Mus musculus: one gene and its partners. The protein of the gene in region 3 interacts with the protein of the main gene of each other region in a pairwise test. Links are inferred from orthologs where the notes say so. Each region holds a gene or a part of one and is shown on either strand. Other genes may lie near its edges. The genes, in order: Blk, Emd and Ccdc33.

The links.
Region 1: the proteins of Ccdc33 (region 3) and Blk interact in a two-hybrid assay, tested with the Homo sapiens proteins (3 studies listed by BioGRID and IntAct). The two-hybrid records come from large-scale screens. The link is inferred for Mus musculus from reciprocal best matches to the Homo sapiens genes CCDC33 and BLK.
Region 2: the proteins of Ccdc33 (region 3) and Emd interact in binary tests that used the Homo sapiens proteins (3 or more experiments, as listed by UniProt). The two-hybrid records come from large-scale screens. The link is inferred for Mus musculus from reciprocal best matches to the Homo sapiens genes CCDC33 and EMD.

The regions. Positions count from the first base shown.
Region 1 is NC_000080.6:63,371,621-63,376,424, forward strand, and holds the end of Blk (tyrosine-protein kinase Blk), read right to left. Parts: intron 4,427-4,804; coding exon 4,276-4,426; intron 2,703-4,275; coding exon 2,571-2,702; intron 1,978-2,570; coding exon 1,772-1,977; 3' UTR 1,217-1,771; downstream 1-1,216. UniProt on the Homo sapiens protein: Non-receptor tyrosine kinase involved in B-lymphocyte development, differentiation and signaling. B-cell receptor (BCR) signaling requires a tight regulation of several protein tyrosine kinases and phosphatases, and associated coreceptors.
Region 2 is NC_000086.7:74,253,246-74,258,223, reverse strand, and holds Emd (emerin), read right to left. Parts: upstream 3,538-4,978; 5' UTR 3,273-3,537; coding exon 3,191-3,272; intron 3,017-3,190; coding exon 2,909-3,016; intron 2,772-2,908; coding exon 2,694-2,771; intron 2,482-2,693; coding exon 2,348-2,481; intron 1,347-2,347; coding exon 1,300-1,346; intron 1,218-1,299; coding exon 887-1,217; 3' UTR 331-886; downstream 1-330. UniProt on the Homo sapiens protein: Stabilizes and promotes the formation of a nuclear actin cortical network. Stimulates actin polymerization in vitro by binding and stabilizing the pointed end of growing filaments. Inhibits beta-catenin activity by preventing its accumulation in the nucleus.
Region 3 is NC_000075.6:58,030,984-58,035,861, reverse strand, and holds part of Ccdc33 (coiled-coil domain-containing protein 33), read left to right. Parts: intron 1-1,651; exon of another isoform or gene 1,652-1,761; intron 1,762-2,146; coding exon 2,147-2,306; intron 2,307-2,513; exon of another isoform or gene 2,514-2,550; coding exon 2,551-2,642; exon of another isoform or gene 2,643-2,865; coding exon 2,866-2,997; exon of another isoform or gene 2,998-3,086; coding exon 3,087-3,180; intron 3,181-3,345; exon of another isoform or gene 3,346-3,588; intron 3,589-4,098; coding exon 4,099-4,247; intron 4,248-4,599; coding exon 4,600-4,806; intron 4,807-4,878.

The DNA of each region.
Region 1 (4,804 bases), on a different chromosome or scaffold from region 3:
ATCCTTCACAAGCTCTGGGCAAGGGGCAATCATCATATAATCAGATGTTTCATACGTAGTCCCCTTGCCAGTGGCTCACACGGCCACCACTGTGTTGGGAGAACACGGACACTCCACAGCCACTTCCCCTATCATTCCTATTTTCTCTGCTTCCCTCTTTTTCTTTACATATCCCTCACCCACTCTCCTACGTGACCTTCGGATTGGGATATGGAAGGATCTTTGTCCTGAATAAATTTGTGAACATAGGGAACTTCCTTCAGTCAGTGCGGGCAAATTGCGACCCCTTGTGGGTTCCAGCATCACCTGGAAGGAGAAAGGCCCTCCTCCCTGAGAGGAGTAAGTCAGCCTTTGATGTCACCTCTACAGCAGACCTGGGGAGAGCCATGGGGAAGTCACACAGAGCCAGTTTTCCTGAGAAATAATATCCCTCAGTAGCTCACTCAGCTCAGCTGCCAAAATCCGGATCCTTGGGCAGTCATCAGTGCCAGCTGGGAACATTGAAATACAAAGCCACGGGTTGTGGATAGGGCTTAGGGGGAATGCTTGCCCGGCGCACATGAGGACTTGTATCTGAATCCTCAGTGCTCATGTAAAATGCCATCATGAGCGTGGGTGCCTGTAACCTTGGCATGAGGGGAGACACTGGGGGATTCTGAGGCCAGGAGGACTATTCTGTATAATTTGGGCTTGATGGATCCATCATCTTGTGCTTTGGTGGAACACGGAGTATAGGTAGGGTGTGAACCCAAGTGTGAAGTGTGTTGATCCCAGCCCCTCTGGAGGAGCAAGTGGGCTCACTATTGCAAGGTGCTGACATCTAAAAGGGTTGAGGGTTTATGGAGACTGGACCCTTTCTACTTATTTTTCTATAAACTTATCCCCCCACCCCACCTATATAAACAAAACAGGATGAATGGGAGACAGAAAAACAGGCGAGAGAGCCTCCACACTTGGGGAGATCACCGCCCCATCTCATGGCTTTCTGTCCATGTTCTAGGGAAACTTGGAACTCAAGGTGCTTGCGTCCATGGAGTCCCAGATACAGGTTTGTGGGGTGAGATCGCCACCTGCTGGCCAGGAAAGACAGTGTCAGTCACACCCAGTGTCCTTTGCTGAGGAATGGGGTAGGGTTGGGGCAAGGTGCTCCCCACCTCCTACACACATCTCGTGTGCCACATCTGTTCATGTCACTGGTAAAGACCAGGGGAAAGGTACAATTCTCATGACTTTATTATAGAAAAGTCCCAAAGTGTGCATGCAGGGATGGGTAGGGGGCACACAGCCAGGGGACCTGGAGGATTGACCCATAGTTCTGAAGCAGCAGACAGGGAGGCACTTGCTGATGAGACTGAAAAGGTGAGAGAAATGGGAGCTCTGATTGCACTCTGGGTTATGACAGCCTGACATCCTGTCCATCGCTAACTGGTCAGACTGATTTCGGGACTATCGGGGTCTGAACACAACTGGAGGTAAGTTCTAACACAATCCTTGCTCATTTTACATTCAAGGAAGAGACGACACAGAGCAGCAAAGTAACTTGGCCAAAGGCACACAGCCAGTGAAAGGTGGACCGAGGTTGTGCCTTGAGAGCTCATGCCTCACCATGAAGCCATCTTTGTCTCCTGGCTCCCTCACTTGAGAAGCAGGCACACCATTCTTCCCTGATTCTGCAACCTACCTGGAAGAAGAGCTAAGTGTGAACATATTAACCCAAAGTCAGAGTCCAGAAGGAGGCTCAGGCTGGGAGCCCTGAAGAGACCATTGGTTGCTAGGGCTGCAGCTCATATTGGCCCTCCGTGGCTGTGTAGAAGTCCTCCAACACCGACTGCAGGAACTCAAAGGTAGGCCGCTCCTCTGGCCGGCCCCGCCAGCACTCAGTGATGATATCATTGTACAACTCCGGTGGACATGTCTCCGGGCATGGCATTCGGTAGCCGTGCTCCAGGCTACGGATGACCTCAGGGTTGCTCATTCCTACAGGAGGGCAGACAGGGAGCTTCAGGGCTGGTGGTGCTCCAGGAGTGCAGTCACTGGCCCTGAGGGCACTAGACTAGGCCCTGACCGGCACTAGAAGGGAAAGAGTGGGCTCTGATACACTATGGCTAGTGTAACCCTGGAAGGTCACATAGGTGCCAGGATCGTAGTACTACTTTGGCTTTTCACACAGGTCTTCTTGTATAGGCCAGACTGGCCTTGAACTTGAGATCTGTCTGTCTCAGCCTCCCAAGGGCTGGAATCACAAGCTTGAGCCATTACACCTGTCTCTTACGCCATCTAATTCCACCNTAATCTCCATCTCCCTCTCCCTCTCCCTCTCCCTCTCCCTCTCCCTATCCATNTACNTCCCCCTCTCCCTCCCCTCCCCCTCCTCCTCCTCCCCCTCTCCCTCTTCCTGTGGCCCTGAGCAGTGTGCAGAAGGAGAGGAAGCCCACAATGCAGGGCTGGGCTTCAGTCCCTGTGACAGGACCCTGCTCTCACCAGTGTGACATACCCACAGTCAGTGAGCCTGGCGAGTCACCATCAGGATGTCCCAGGAGGATGGTAGGAAGGACAGGGACAATGCCTACCTGGGTAGGGAACGCGCCCATAGGTGACAATCTCCATCAGCAAGACTCCGAAGGACCACACATCAGCCTTGATGGTAAACACCCCGAAGTGGATGGCCTCCGGGGCGGTCCACTTGATGGGGAACTTGGCCCCTGCCAGGAAAGTGCAGTAGCTCCAGGGACAGCCAACCATCTACCCCCAACCCACAGAGTCCTGCCCCTATCTGCCCGTTCCCACTGGAGGGCCTGCAGGATGTGTACACTGGATACATGAGGATATAGGAAGACACAGTCACTTGCTACTATCCTAGGAGTTCTTAAAAACAGTGTTGATGTCCCTGGGTGGTGTGGTGCACACCTTTGATCCCAGCATTTAGGAGGCAGAGGCATTTGGATCTCTGAGTTCAAGGCCAACCTGGTCCACAGAGTAAGTTCAAGGACAGCAAGGGCTACATAGAGGAGCCTGTCTTTGAAAACCAAAAACCAAACCAAATCAAACCAAAAAAGCAAAAACAAAACCAACAACAAAACCAGTACCACCCATATATGCTTCCATCTGACTTACTGTTTTGTTTGATTTTGATTTTTTGGAGACAGAGTCTTGTGTATATCCCAGACTGGCCTCCAACTAGAGCGTACGTAGCCAGGGGTAACCTTGAACTCCTAATCCTCCTGCCATCACCTTCCACTGTGCTGGGATCACAGCCATGCACCAGCATGCCCCATTTATACTCCACTGAATATGAAACCACGGGCTTCATGCCAGAGAGGCAGTCTGCTGACTGAGCTATGTCCCCAGCCCTGTGCATGTCCATCTGGGATGGAAGCATCCTTTCCTATCTCACTCGGCCTTGTCCAGCGGCAGGGACCGTGGTATGGGCGGGCTTCAGTCCGTGCTTTCCTGCAAAAGGCAAACCTGACACTCAGACAGACACCTCTGAGGGCCACTGTGTGGAGGGATAGCAAGGCCCATCTCAGTTCAGACCGTGATGGCTACAGCCTTGGTTGGCACTGAGAGCCAACCTCAGGCTGAGGTGGCATTGGCCACCTCCCCCCTGATGGTTTCACTGTCTGGGGAGCCAGTTGGAAGTCCCCTGAGGGGGTTATCGGCCCCTAAGATGTGGCTCTCCTCCTGAATCCACTGATTAATGCACTAAACCAGTACTGCTTGCTTGATCAATGTACCAGAGTCCTCCTGCAAAGTCAATTTTCCTCACTCACAGTAAGAGAAGAGCATCCATGCAACCCTTCGGGTGCAAGGGTTGGATGCTCATGCTTTAGTTAGAGCTGTGTTTTCCAACCTGTGCTCCCTGACACCCTCCTTCCACAGGAGGATTTTCTCAACTTAGTCTGGGGATCAGAGGGTGAAACAAGGGGAAGAAAGTGCAGGTCTTCTCCTCCATCCTTCTAGATTTATATGCACTGGAGTCTCCAGGATGGGGAGGAGATAGCTGAGCATTCCAAGGCCATTCTGAATGAAGACTCCCAAGGGGCTTGAGTTGCTTCTCTGCCACCCCCTCCCATCTAGGGAAAGGAAGTGCTGAGCTGGGTGGGAAAGGACCAAACACAAGGACCATGGGTCTCCCTAGTCATCTCCAACAGCAAGGAGACATTCAAGGGGGCTCCAGAGAGTTGAGACGTTCAAAGGCTTTCGTGTGTGTGTGTGTGTGTGTGTGTGTGTGTGCGTGCGCGCGCGAGTGTGTGTACACTCACACACTCTGCTCACCCTCTTGGGCAGTGTATTCACTGTCAATGATCCTGGCCAAGCCGAAGTCAGCGATTTTGCAGCACAACGTCTCAGACACCAGGATGTTGGCTGCCCGCAGGTCACGGTGGATGGAATTCATGCGCTCTATGTAAGCCATCCCCTCTGCAACCTGAGGGGACAGGTCACATGGTGAAGGGCAGCAAGGATGGAGCCTACCAGCTCATAAGGCCAGCTTCACATGCCCTGCCCAGGGGAGAGAGAAGGTATCCACCCCTTCCCATGAGACCAACCCAGACTCAGGGCAGCAGAGAAGCTAGGCTGACATCCCCAGGCCTGTCCCCCTTTTTCAGACAATTGTCTCCAAGGTTCTGTGGACTGGGAATAGCAAAGAAGGCTGGGGTTGTAGATAGCCTCTAATGAGACAGGGAGGAGAAAGGACGAACAGGGCATAGCACGGAAGGGCAGGGCTACTCCCTCAGTGGACACTTCTCTCAGAGGAGCCAACCATGCCTTGGAATCACCAATGTCCAATGGGCTGGGTCACTTC
Region 2 (4,978 bases), on a different chromosome or scaffold from region 3:
AAGAAAACCTGGAAACTGAGCAAGAATAAACAGGCAAAGAGTTAGGATACCCATGGGTGCACTGTAGTCTTTGATTCTACCACCATGCCACCAATCCCAGGAGCTGAATAACAATGTACTGGCAAGATGCCTCATTTCTTTTCTATCCTTGTAACCTCAGATGTTGGTGTTAGCCTCTCCCGACTAAAGTATCTGAATGTGTTGTCACATGCGGTTTTGCCTACATTTCCCATAGGCTTACCCACACATTTGATTACACGGTAGTTATTTTTCTAGGTGGTTATAAGAACTTCAGGAAGTAGGCCCAGAAATAAAGCCCACAACCAAAACATAGACTTATCTGTGGGTAGCACTTGTTTCCTTCCCCAAGGCCAAGCACAACCAAAGGGAAAAGCCACATTGAGTTTGGAGACCTAAAACCAACCACCTGTGCCATGGCAGCCCAGCTCCTATCCCAGTAGGAAGAATCAACAAGGTAAAAATAAACATGTTTATTATTGTGTCCATGAAAGCAAAGCCAGGGTGGTCTTTGTTAATACCCCCTGAAAAGGTGACAACAAACAGGCATGCATGACAACTACCACTGCCACCACCAAGTTTTCCTCTAATGAAGTGAGGTCCTCCCACCAGACCCCGGTACCCTAAGGGTCAGAGGCAATAGGGCTAGGAGGCTCCAGAGGAAGGTACAGGTAGGCCTACTGGGCTGTAGAAGGCCAACATTTGCTGCTTCCTTGGCAGGATGAGGTGGGAGACAAGCATTGCCTTAGGCTAGACCTTGCACCCAACTAGAACACACAAAAAAGCCCCTACCCTCCCCACCCCCAGCAAACACCGATAAGGCAATCAGCCAAAACTCCTGGTAAGAGCTGCTCTAAAACCAATACCCTTAGGGATCCATCCAGAAGGGGTTGCCTTCTTCAGCTTGTATGGAATAGTAAACAAAGAGCAGAAAGGCAGCAAAGACCAGGAAGAGTAACAGCTGGCCCCAGAGTGGGACCTGTCGATCCTGGCCCAGAGCAGCAGCAGGGGCCTGCTTCTCTGGCCGAATGGCACGTCGGGTAAGCCATGAAGAGGGAGAAGATGAAGAGGAGGACACAGAAGAGGTGGAGGATGTAGGATAATATGATAAGCCCAGAGAGCTCCTGGAGACATTGGAAATGGGGCGGTAGTGTGCGATGCTCTGGTAGGCACTGTCTTGGCCATAGATGAGGCGCTCCCTGTGGCAAAAGAAGGCAACAGGTAGGCAGGAGAGTCTGAGACTCGAATTTGTCCCTGTCCCTACATATGTTCACTACTCACCTATCCTTGCCTTCCTCTTCTAAAGAAGAGAAAATGTCATCACGCACCTGCAGAATAATTAGGATTAGAAATGGGGAAGAATGGTTTTCCTTAAATGTCTCTGGCTAGCCTGCTCTAATCATATCATAGGGACCAGAAAATTGCCCCCCCCTCCCCCATTCTGAGTATGTGGAGCCTCTTTATCTGTGGGGCCTTGCTGCTCAGTTACTAACCCTGTTGACTTTGTTCCAGCATCCTTTTATTCCCCTGGATTCTCAGGAGGCTTAAATCTATATCGTAGATTAATTACTAGAGTGCAGGAGCTGTTACATATTCTCTGATCAAAAAAGTTTGTGGGCTGAAGAGGTGGTTCACTGGTTAAGAGCACATATTATTCTTCCTAGGTACCTGAGGTCAATTTCCAGCACACACATCAGGCAGTTTACAACTACCTGTAGCTCTAGCTCTAGTGGGAATATGACAATTCTCACCTCTGTAGGTGCCAGCACTCATGCATACTACCCACAGACATGTATGTGAGAATTCTGGAATTTTGGCTTTTTTAAGAAACACAGAAATATTGTAAGAATATGTTTTTGTTTTAATCTTAGGTGTGGAATATGGGGCTGCTTCACAGCAGCTAACTATGAGTTGCCTCATGCTTTTAGCAAAGGTGTGTTTCTGTGAGTTTCAGATAGTTTCTACAATTGTGTGATATTTGGAATTCTGGGAATTTTTCATTACTGGGGGTGAAGTGGGGGGGGGGAAATACCCACAAACTAACAAAAATTGGCCACACATATGTATAATTAAAGTAATTAAATCTTTTAAAAAAGCCAAAACCCCAAAACATTTGTTATGTGCTGCTGGAGATGAAACCATAGGTAAATACTCTTCTGCTGAGCATCCCCAAATCCAATAGTTTTGAAGGTTCCAACATAGAATTTTTAACCCGACAGCTGTATGCTGACCCTAACCAGATTTGAAAGCCTAAGATCCACTCTCTGCACCTATCCAAACCTAGAATTCCCTAAGGCTGCACCCCAGGTATACCTACCAGCCAACTCACCTGGTGATGGAAGGTATCAGCATCTACAAGTGAGGTCCCCGGCTGGCGGAAGCTCTTGGACATGCCCACAGACTCAGGCTCCCCGTATGTCTTGGTGGTCAAATAACTCTCCTCATAGTAGTCATCATTATAGTCTTGGGGAGGAAAACAGTGGTAGAGGAAAAAGTGGTGCCCCTTAACTGGCCTCCTCTTCTCCCTCCCCAGCCTGTGTGTGCTGTGTCAGTTTCTCCCCTCTGAAGCCACTGAGAACTGGTACAAGGAGGTGAGGGAGGTCTGGGGTTTCCCTGTGCCCAAATCCCGGAAGCATGGGATAAAAACATCAGTGCCCACCCTATACCTGCCTTACCCTTGCTCTGGTAAAGTAAGGCGTCTTCTTTTTTGGGCAGATCATACATGTCTGAGTCCACGGCGGCTGAATCCAAGTCTGCATGTGAAGGAGGAGGGACAGGACCATTCGATCTCCAGCCTTCCCCCTACTCCCTCAATAGCTTCGGCCACACCCTCCCTCCCTAAGACGTGTGCCCCAAGCTGCTCTTTGGGGCTCTGCAGTTAAGGGCTCACCTGAGAACTGATAGGAGAATGAAGAAGATGACGAGTTGGGGGGTAAGAGTCTCCTTCTCTGGGTCTCGTACTCGAAGATTTTCTTTTCGTAGAGCTTGCGAGTGGAACCTGCCCAGACACAGGGTGCGAAGCGGTCAGAGGGCGTGAGCCGAGCACCCCAAGAGCACAAGGGAACACGGGGAGGGGACTTGAGGGGAGGGAGAGGTGGGGAGAACGCTCAGGGAGGAGCGCGGGAAAGCAGTGGACCAAGAGAGGTTCTGAGCGCCACCGGGTGCAGCATACCCACAATAGGCCCATGAGGGATGTTGTACTGGCGTAGCACTGCGGCCAGCTCAGTATCGGACAAAACCGCATAGTCGTCCATGGCAGACAAGGCCGGCACCTGGAAGCGGTGTTGAACGCCAGGGGCGGCCGGGGCCTACAGACAGGGCCCAAGAAACCAACCGCTCGGAGCCTAGAAGAAGAAGCGCCAGAGCCTCAAGAGCGGCTGTGGGCGCGTCACGCCGCCGTCACATTTGCGTCACAGCCGCGGCTACGCAGGTTGCGCGCGCTCCTCAGGGCAGGCCCAAACTAGCCAGAACGGCCGGTGCAGACCGGTCTAGCTGAGGGAACAGGCTGGGCTGGCAAACAGAAACGTAACGCTTGTGAGAGATTGGCTCGAACAGGGAGAAGGCGGAGCTTTCAGAACTCGTGCGGCAGCGGTTGAGACTTCCTTTGAGAGCTAGGCCGCCGAGGGGCGGAGCTGGCTGACCTCACTAGAGGATGCTTTAGAGCGCAACTTACTAGGGATGAGGCAAGTGATTTGACCAAAACCGGCTTGTGAGATTTCCCAACCTGTGAGATCTCACATACTTTTGTTACTGGCTTCATTCCTGATTTTATTCCCCCGGTGTTCCAGTGCCTAGGATTCTCAGCCACAGTGTGATCCACAGCAGTGTAAAGCAATCCTGAGAGCGAACCCTTCCAGAGCGCCTAACGCTGCTGAGAGCTCTTTGTATGCTGTCAGACAGGGCTCTCATCACCTAACATAGACACCCACAGAGCCCTGGCACTCCCTACCCATCTCCTTTGGTCTTCCCAGTCTCCATGACCCTGGCCTGCACACCTGCACAGGCCCATTCCCACCGTCGTCTTCTCTAATGCCTAGTTCCATTCGCGAGGAAATGGGGCCAGCACTGGGCCAAGTGGCCACCAGCACTACAGGATCAAGCAGCTTTCCAAAGGTCCAGGGTATGCCAATGCACACAATCAGAGGGCGCCTGCCTGCCTGCCTGCCTGCCTGCCCTGTGATGCATGTAGATCTGTACACCTTGTACCTGCCATACTCACTGTTCTACCTTGGGCCCTGAGGAATTCTGGGGGGAGAGGTCTTCTCTGGCTGAGTAGAATAGTCTCTAAGCTTGGTGTGACCTTAGAGACCTAGACAAGTGTACAAAGCCTAGAGCACTATTTCTCAACCTCCTTAATGCTGCAATCCTTTAATACAGTTCCTCATGTTGTGGTGACTCCCCACCCATAAAATTATTGTGTTGTACTTCATAAATGTAATTTCAATATTGCTATAAATTAAAATATAAATATTTGTTATGCAGGATATCTGATATGTGAGATCCAAAGGGATAGCGACCCCAGAGGTTCTGAACTGCTGGCCTAGAGGCAAACCATGGGAATTGATGGAGGCTTACTAAGGATCTGGATCAGAGAAAGGTTGCCTTGAAGAGTGACCATGACCATTATATTCTACACAAAGTCATGTGGATCTAGGTAGGCTGCCCTTTATTGGAGAGATCTAGAAGAAGGGGTACGCGTAGAAAAAGTGTGTAGGATGCCTGATCTCTTAAATCAGTGCTTCTCAACCTTCCTAATGCTGTTGTGGTGATTCCCAATCACAAAATATTTTTGTTGCTACTTTATAATGGTAATTTTTGCTACTTTATGAGTCATAATGTAAATATTTTTGGAGACAAGGTTTGCCAGAGGGGTTGTAACCCACAGGTTGTCTTAAGTGATAGTGATAGTGAGTACTTTGCTCAGTTCTAGGTTGACCTGATGACACTTTAGTGAAGTTCA
Region 3 (4,878 bases):
ACCAGATGGGCATAGATCTGGGGAAGCCAGAACAGATGCTAGGGAGATAGAGCCAATACTGGCACCAGTCAGAGGGACTATAGCCAGAAGGCTAGACAGCAGTGGCAGATGACTGGTGGTGTCCGATGAGTTCCTGCTGGCTGGGGACTCCCCTCCCCTAGAAAGCCATGGCACACCATGCAGCAGGTGGGAGACTATAGCTGGGATATAGTTGGATTCCGCCCCCAGGCAGCTGGAGACCAGGGGAGAGTTGGATGTAGAGTTGTGTTTTCTGGATCCTGGGAGGCCCACCCACAGGAGCAAGGCATCCCACAGCCCAGAAGTCCACAGGCAGCTCAGAGGGCTCACTTGCCTCCCATCTCTGAGCCGTTCTCTTCCAGAACCTTGCTTGCCTGTATCTCAGATCTCAGTCTCTCTCTCTCTCTCTCTCTCTCTCTCTCTCTCTCTCTCTCTCTCTCTCTCTCTCTCTGTGTGTGTGTGTGTGTGTGTGTGTGTGTGTGTGTGTGTGTGTGTCTACAGATACTGCATGCTTGGAACTTGTGCTGAATAGTAAAGAATATGGTTGGCAAACAAATTCAGGGCTGAAGATAAGGCTCAGGAGTTAAAGTACTTTTCTTGCAAATGTAGGGTCTTGAGTTTGAGGCCAAGCACACATGTAAACACTAGGTACAGTGGAGTGTTTGTAGTGCTAGCATGAAAAGGGGAAAACAGAAAAAAAAAAAAAAAAACCTAAGGACTCACTGACCAAGCAATCTAGTCTAACTGATGAGCTCTGGGTGGAGGAAAACTTGCACTGTTTCAAGGACTGGATCTCTTTCCTGAGGTTGACATTCAAGGCTGAGCATCCACAGGCACCCACACAGGCACCCACACAGGCACCCACACACACAGGCACACACACACACAGGCACACAGGCACACACACACACACAGGCACACACACAGAGGCACACACACACACAGGCACACACACACACAGGCACACACACACAGGCACACACACAGGCACACACACACAGGCACACACACACAGGCACACACACACAGGCACACACACACAGGCACACTCCCCCCCCACACACACACACAGGCACACACACACACAGGCACACACACACACAGGCACACACACACACACACAGGCACCTCACACACACACAGGCACACACACACAGAGGCACACCCCCCCACACCCCCACACACAGGCACACCCACACACGCACGAAATGCATATGAATTCTGCTCAGTTGCCCTGTACGTATATAGGCAGACTTAGTTGTGGTTTGTTTAAAAAAAAAAATGAGAAAGAGAAAAAAAAAAGGAAAAGGAAAAAGAAAACAAAGAACCAAACAGACTCAAAGCCCCATTCAGACCCTGACTTCACTGCCCATTACTCCTAACACTGAGTAGGTTGCTTGCCCCCTCTGGTTTCCTCGGTTTCTTCTGTAAAGTGGTTGTCCCATAGGCTTGCTGGGGGTTGAATGCAGATCAGCACCTAAAGCACTTAGCCGGAGGCCTGGCATGTGGGGGAAGCCAGGGATCATTAAGACTATGGTTATTGCCCTTCCAGACCTAAGTTGGCTTCCTGCCCCCACTCCCTGCATCTCCTCCATCTTATATCTGGATCCTGATCTTGGCCTTGAGATGTTACCTGAGTCTTCAGTGTCTTCTTGGTGTCTCTTCTTGGATGCTGGGCTATTTGGGAAGCTGATGGCAGTCCAGCCCCCAAGTGGCTCTGGTGGGCAGTCTAAGAGACTCCTCCTGTGGAGGAGTTGAGTTAGAAGAGGGAGCGGGAGAAGAGAGAAGGTGAAGAAGTAGATAGGATTTACTCAGGATCTAGAAACATGGCTCCATCCTTTTGAGACTGTTGCCTACAGGTTTCTTAACCCAATACCTGAACCCTATGTTCCCCTGGTATTACATGAATCAGTGTGGTCCCTGAGGAGACACATTTGTGTGGCCCTCCTAATACTCCCAGGAGAGATGAGGACCATGCCCAACCACTCTCTGGGTAATTGCTAGGGTTTGGGGGGGGTACAACCTGAGGGTGACCTTAAGAGTGACTCACTATGGGTGCAGATGTAGAGTGGGATCCTGGGGGGTTGGGCATTGGGTAAGGGTTCAGCTGAGGCTTCTGGGCTTCTAGGAGATGAACAATTACCGGCGGGCCATGCAGAAGATGGCAGAGGACATCCTGGCACTGAAGAAGCAGGCTAACATCCTGGAGGAGGAGAACGGCATGCTGAGGAGCCACCTGAGCCAGCAGAGCATAGAAGAGCAGAGCAGGGCGGAGGAAGAGAACCTGGGTGAGCCCCTGGACACATGCTGGGGCCCAGGCTTACTGTCAGGAGCTAGGGAGCATTCTCCAGATATTGTGTGCCCCATCTCCGGAGTCCCCTACCCCTCCCACTCCTCCCCCCTGTAGACACACTTGTACAACCTACCTAGCTATAATGTCTTAGGAGGGGAAACAGAAAATCCTGGGCCAAGCCCTAGAGCTGAGGTGCGCTTGCCTCTACCTATTCTTGAGCCAGCTTCTTCCCACCCCAGCAGTGTCCATGAAGCAGAAGCTACTGCTGAACGAACTGGATATGAAGAGGCTGCGAGACAGGGTGCAGCACCTGCAAAATGAGCTGATTCGGGTGAGCTAGGGTCGGCTGGACAGAGGGACAGCTCCTCCTCCGGGCACAGTCCTGGGAAGTATCTGGAGCAGAGAGAAAGTCCACAGTGGGGAGGGAAGCCGGCCAGTTCAGGCTTCAGCAGAATCCCACGTGTGCCCTCGTGGCTGGAGTAACTCTCATGGATCCCATGTGTGCCCTCGTGGCTTGGGGAACTCTCATGTACCCATTGGCCTCCACCCTGCAGAAGAATGACCGAGAGAAGGAGCTGCTGCTTCTGTACCAGGCTCAGCAGCCCCAGGCTGCACAGCTGAGGCGCTACCAGGACAAGCTGCAGAAGATGAAGGCCCTGGAGGACACTGTACGGCACCAGGAGAAGGCAGGTTCTGGGGCCAGCTGTGGAGGAGGGGCAGCAGCCTAGAAGTTGTGAGGTCTCAAGCCAGCCCAGCCTTGTCACCTTGTCACCAGGTGATCGAGAAGATGGAGCAGATATTGGAAGAAAGGCTCTGTGAGAGGAAGGAACCAATACCATCAAACAGGCCACAGGGGAAGCCTATCATGGGTGGGTTTGCTCCCCAAGGTAGATCAGAATAAATGACCTTCCAGCTTTTGTCTTGCCCTATCCCTCCTCCCCCCCCCCCAGTTTCACAAGAACCTTCAGAGAAGGGTCAGTTCTCTGTTATGTCTGTGAGCTGGAGAGAGATACCCTGAGAAATATTACTCTCACCTCTCTCAAGTACTGAGAGCTTCCATGGTGATCTGAGCCCTCTTCTATCAGGAAGCCCCTTAGTACACAAGGACAGTGTGTGAGCCAGGCAGAAAGAGACCAGACCTCTAAGGTTGAGGCCCTATGAACCACAGGGTCAGAGAGAGACATCCCCAATGGATGGCCTCCAAGGCTGCAGTCCCCAAGTCCTTGGCTTCCCCAGCTCTTAGCATCTCTCCTATTCTGCCTTCCCTAAGCAAACAGACAAGACCACTCTGATAGTATCCGTTTATTTTCCCCATTGGTGTAAACCACAGCCACCCACAACTGTCAATCAAAAATGGCTCTGATAAGCACAAAAGAATAAAATAACACCTTATCAAGTGGATCATCTCCCGGGCCATGTGAGAATGCTCTCCAAGTATCTCTGTAGTTCTGGCCCTGGGCCCAGTCTTCATGGATGGTTAGGTACTCAGGGGCTGGAAGTCTTTAGAAAACCATGAAATTCTCAGGGAATCTTATTCACCTGGAGTCTGGGTGAGTCTGCAGAGGGCAACCAGGCCGAAGGACCAGAGAGTGACCAGAGAGACAAATACAAGGAGAATCGAGCAGGGAGGGACATGGGGAAAACGTAGGAATCTAAACAGCCTGGGAGGACAGCCCGAGGGATATGGACCTGACTCTACTGGCAAAGGAGAGCCGTTGATACTGAGGCTAATGGGCACATAGAAGCAGCAAAGCCCATCTCGAAAGCACCTGTTCCTGTGTTCACAGCCTCGGGCATTCCTCTGGGCCCCGTGGGAGAGACCCTGGCTGTTGACCTTTACTCCATGCTGCTAGCAGAAAACACGAGGCTTCGGACAGAGCTGGAAAAGAACCGCCAGCAGTCAGCCCCCATCATTCTGCAGCAGCAGGCCCTACCGGTAAGAGCTGCCACACAGGTCTGGCTTGAGCCTGCCGGCACTGGTCAGCAGGTAGCCCACAATCATCCCTCGCATGAACCAAGTTGAAGATTCGGCCCAGAATCTGGGCTTCCCAGCACCCAACAGCACTGGAAACATTCGTACTAGGGCCTTGCTCTTGCGCTCCTAAGATAACTATCTCACCATTGTCTGCCATCCTGGGAGAGAGCAAGGCCCTGGATCACCCTTGACCCCTGAATCCTAACTTCACCTGCCACCTGACTTGCTCCCATCTGGACACCCTCCCACCATGGGGCCTCTCAGGACCTTCTGGGATTGGTGCAGCCTTGGAGAGCCCTTTTCCCCATCCCAGGTGGATCCCAGGGAGTTGGGAGCAGGTGGAGATTTGGCAGAAAGGCTACAAGACACAAATGGCCCGGGCCACCCCAAGTCCACAGAGACCCTGCCAGCACAGGTGGGTGTCCCAGGAGGCTACTCCACTGCCCAGGCTGCTCCAGGTGCCCCTGCTGTACACAAACCCAAAATCAATATTTGGAGCTCTGGTGGCATGAGAACACAGGTGAGTGTGCTTCCTCATCCCAGGACGTGAGTTCTGCTTGCATTATCCCAGTGCATGGGCAGCCAGGCAAAG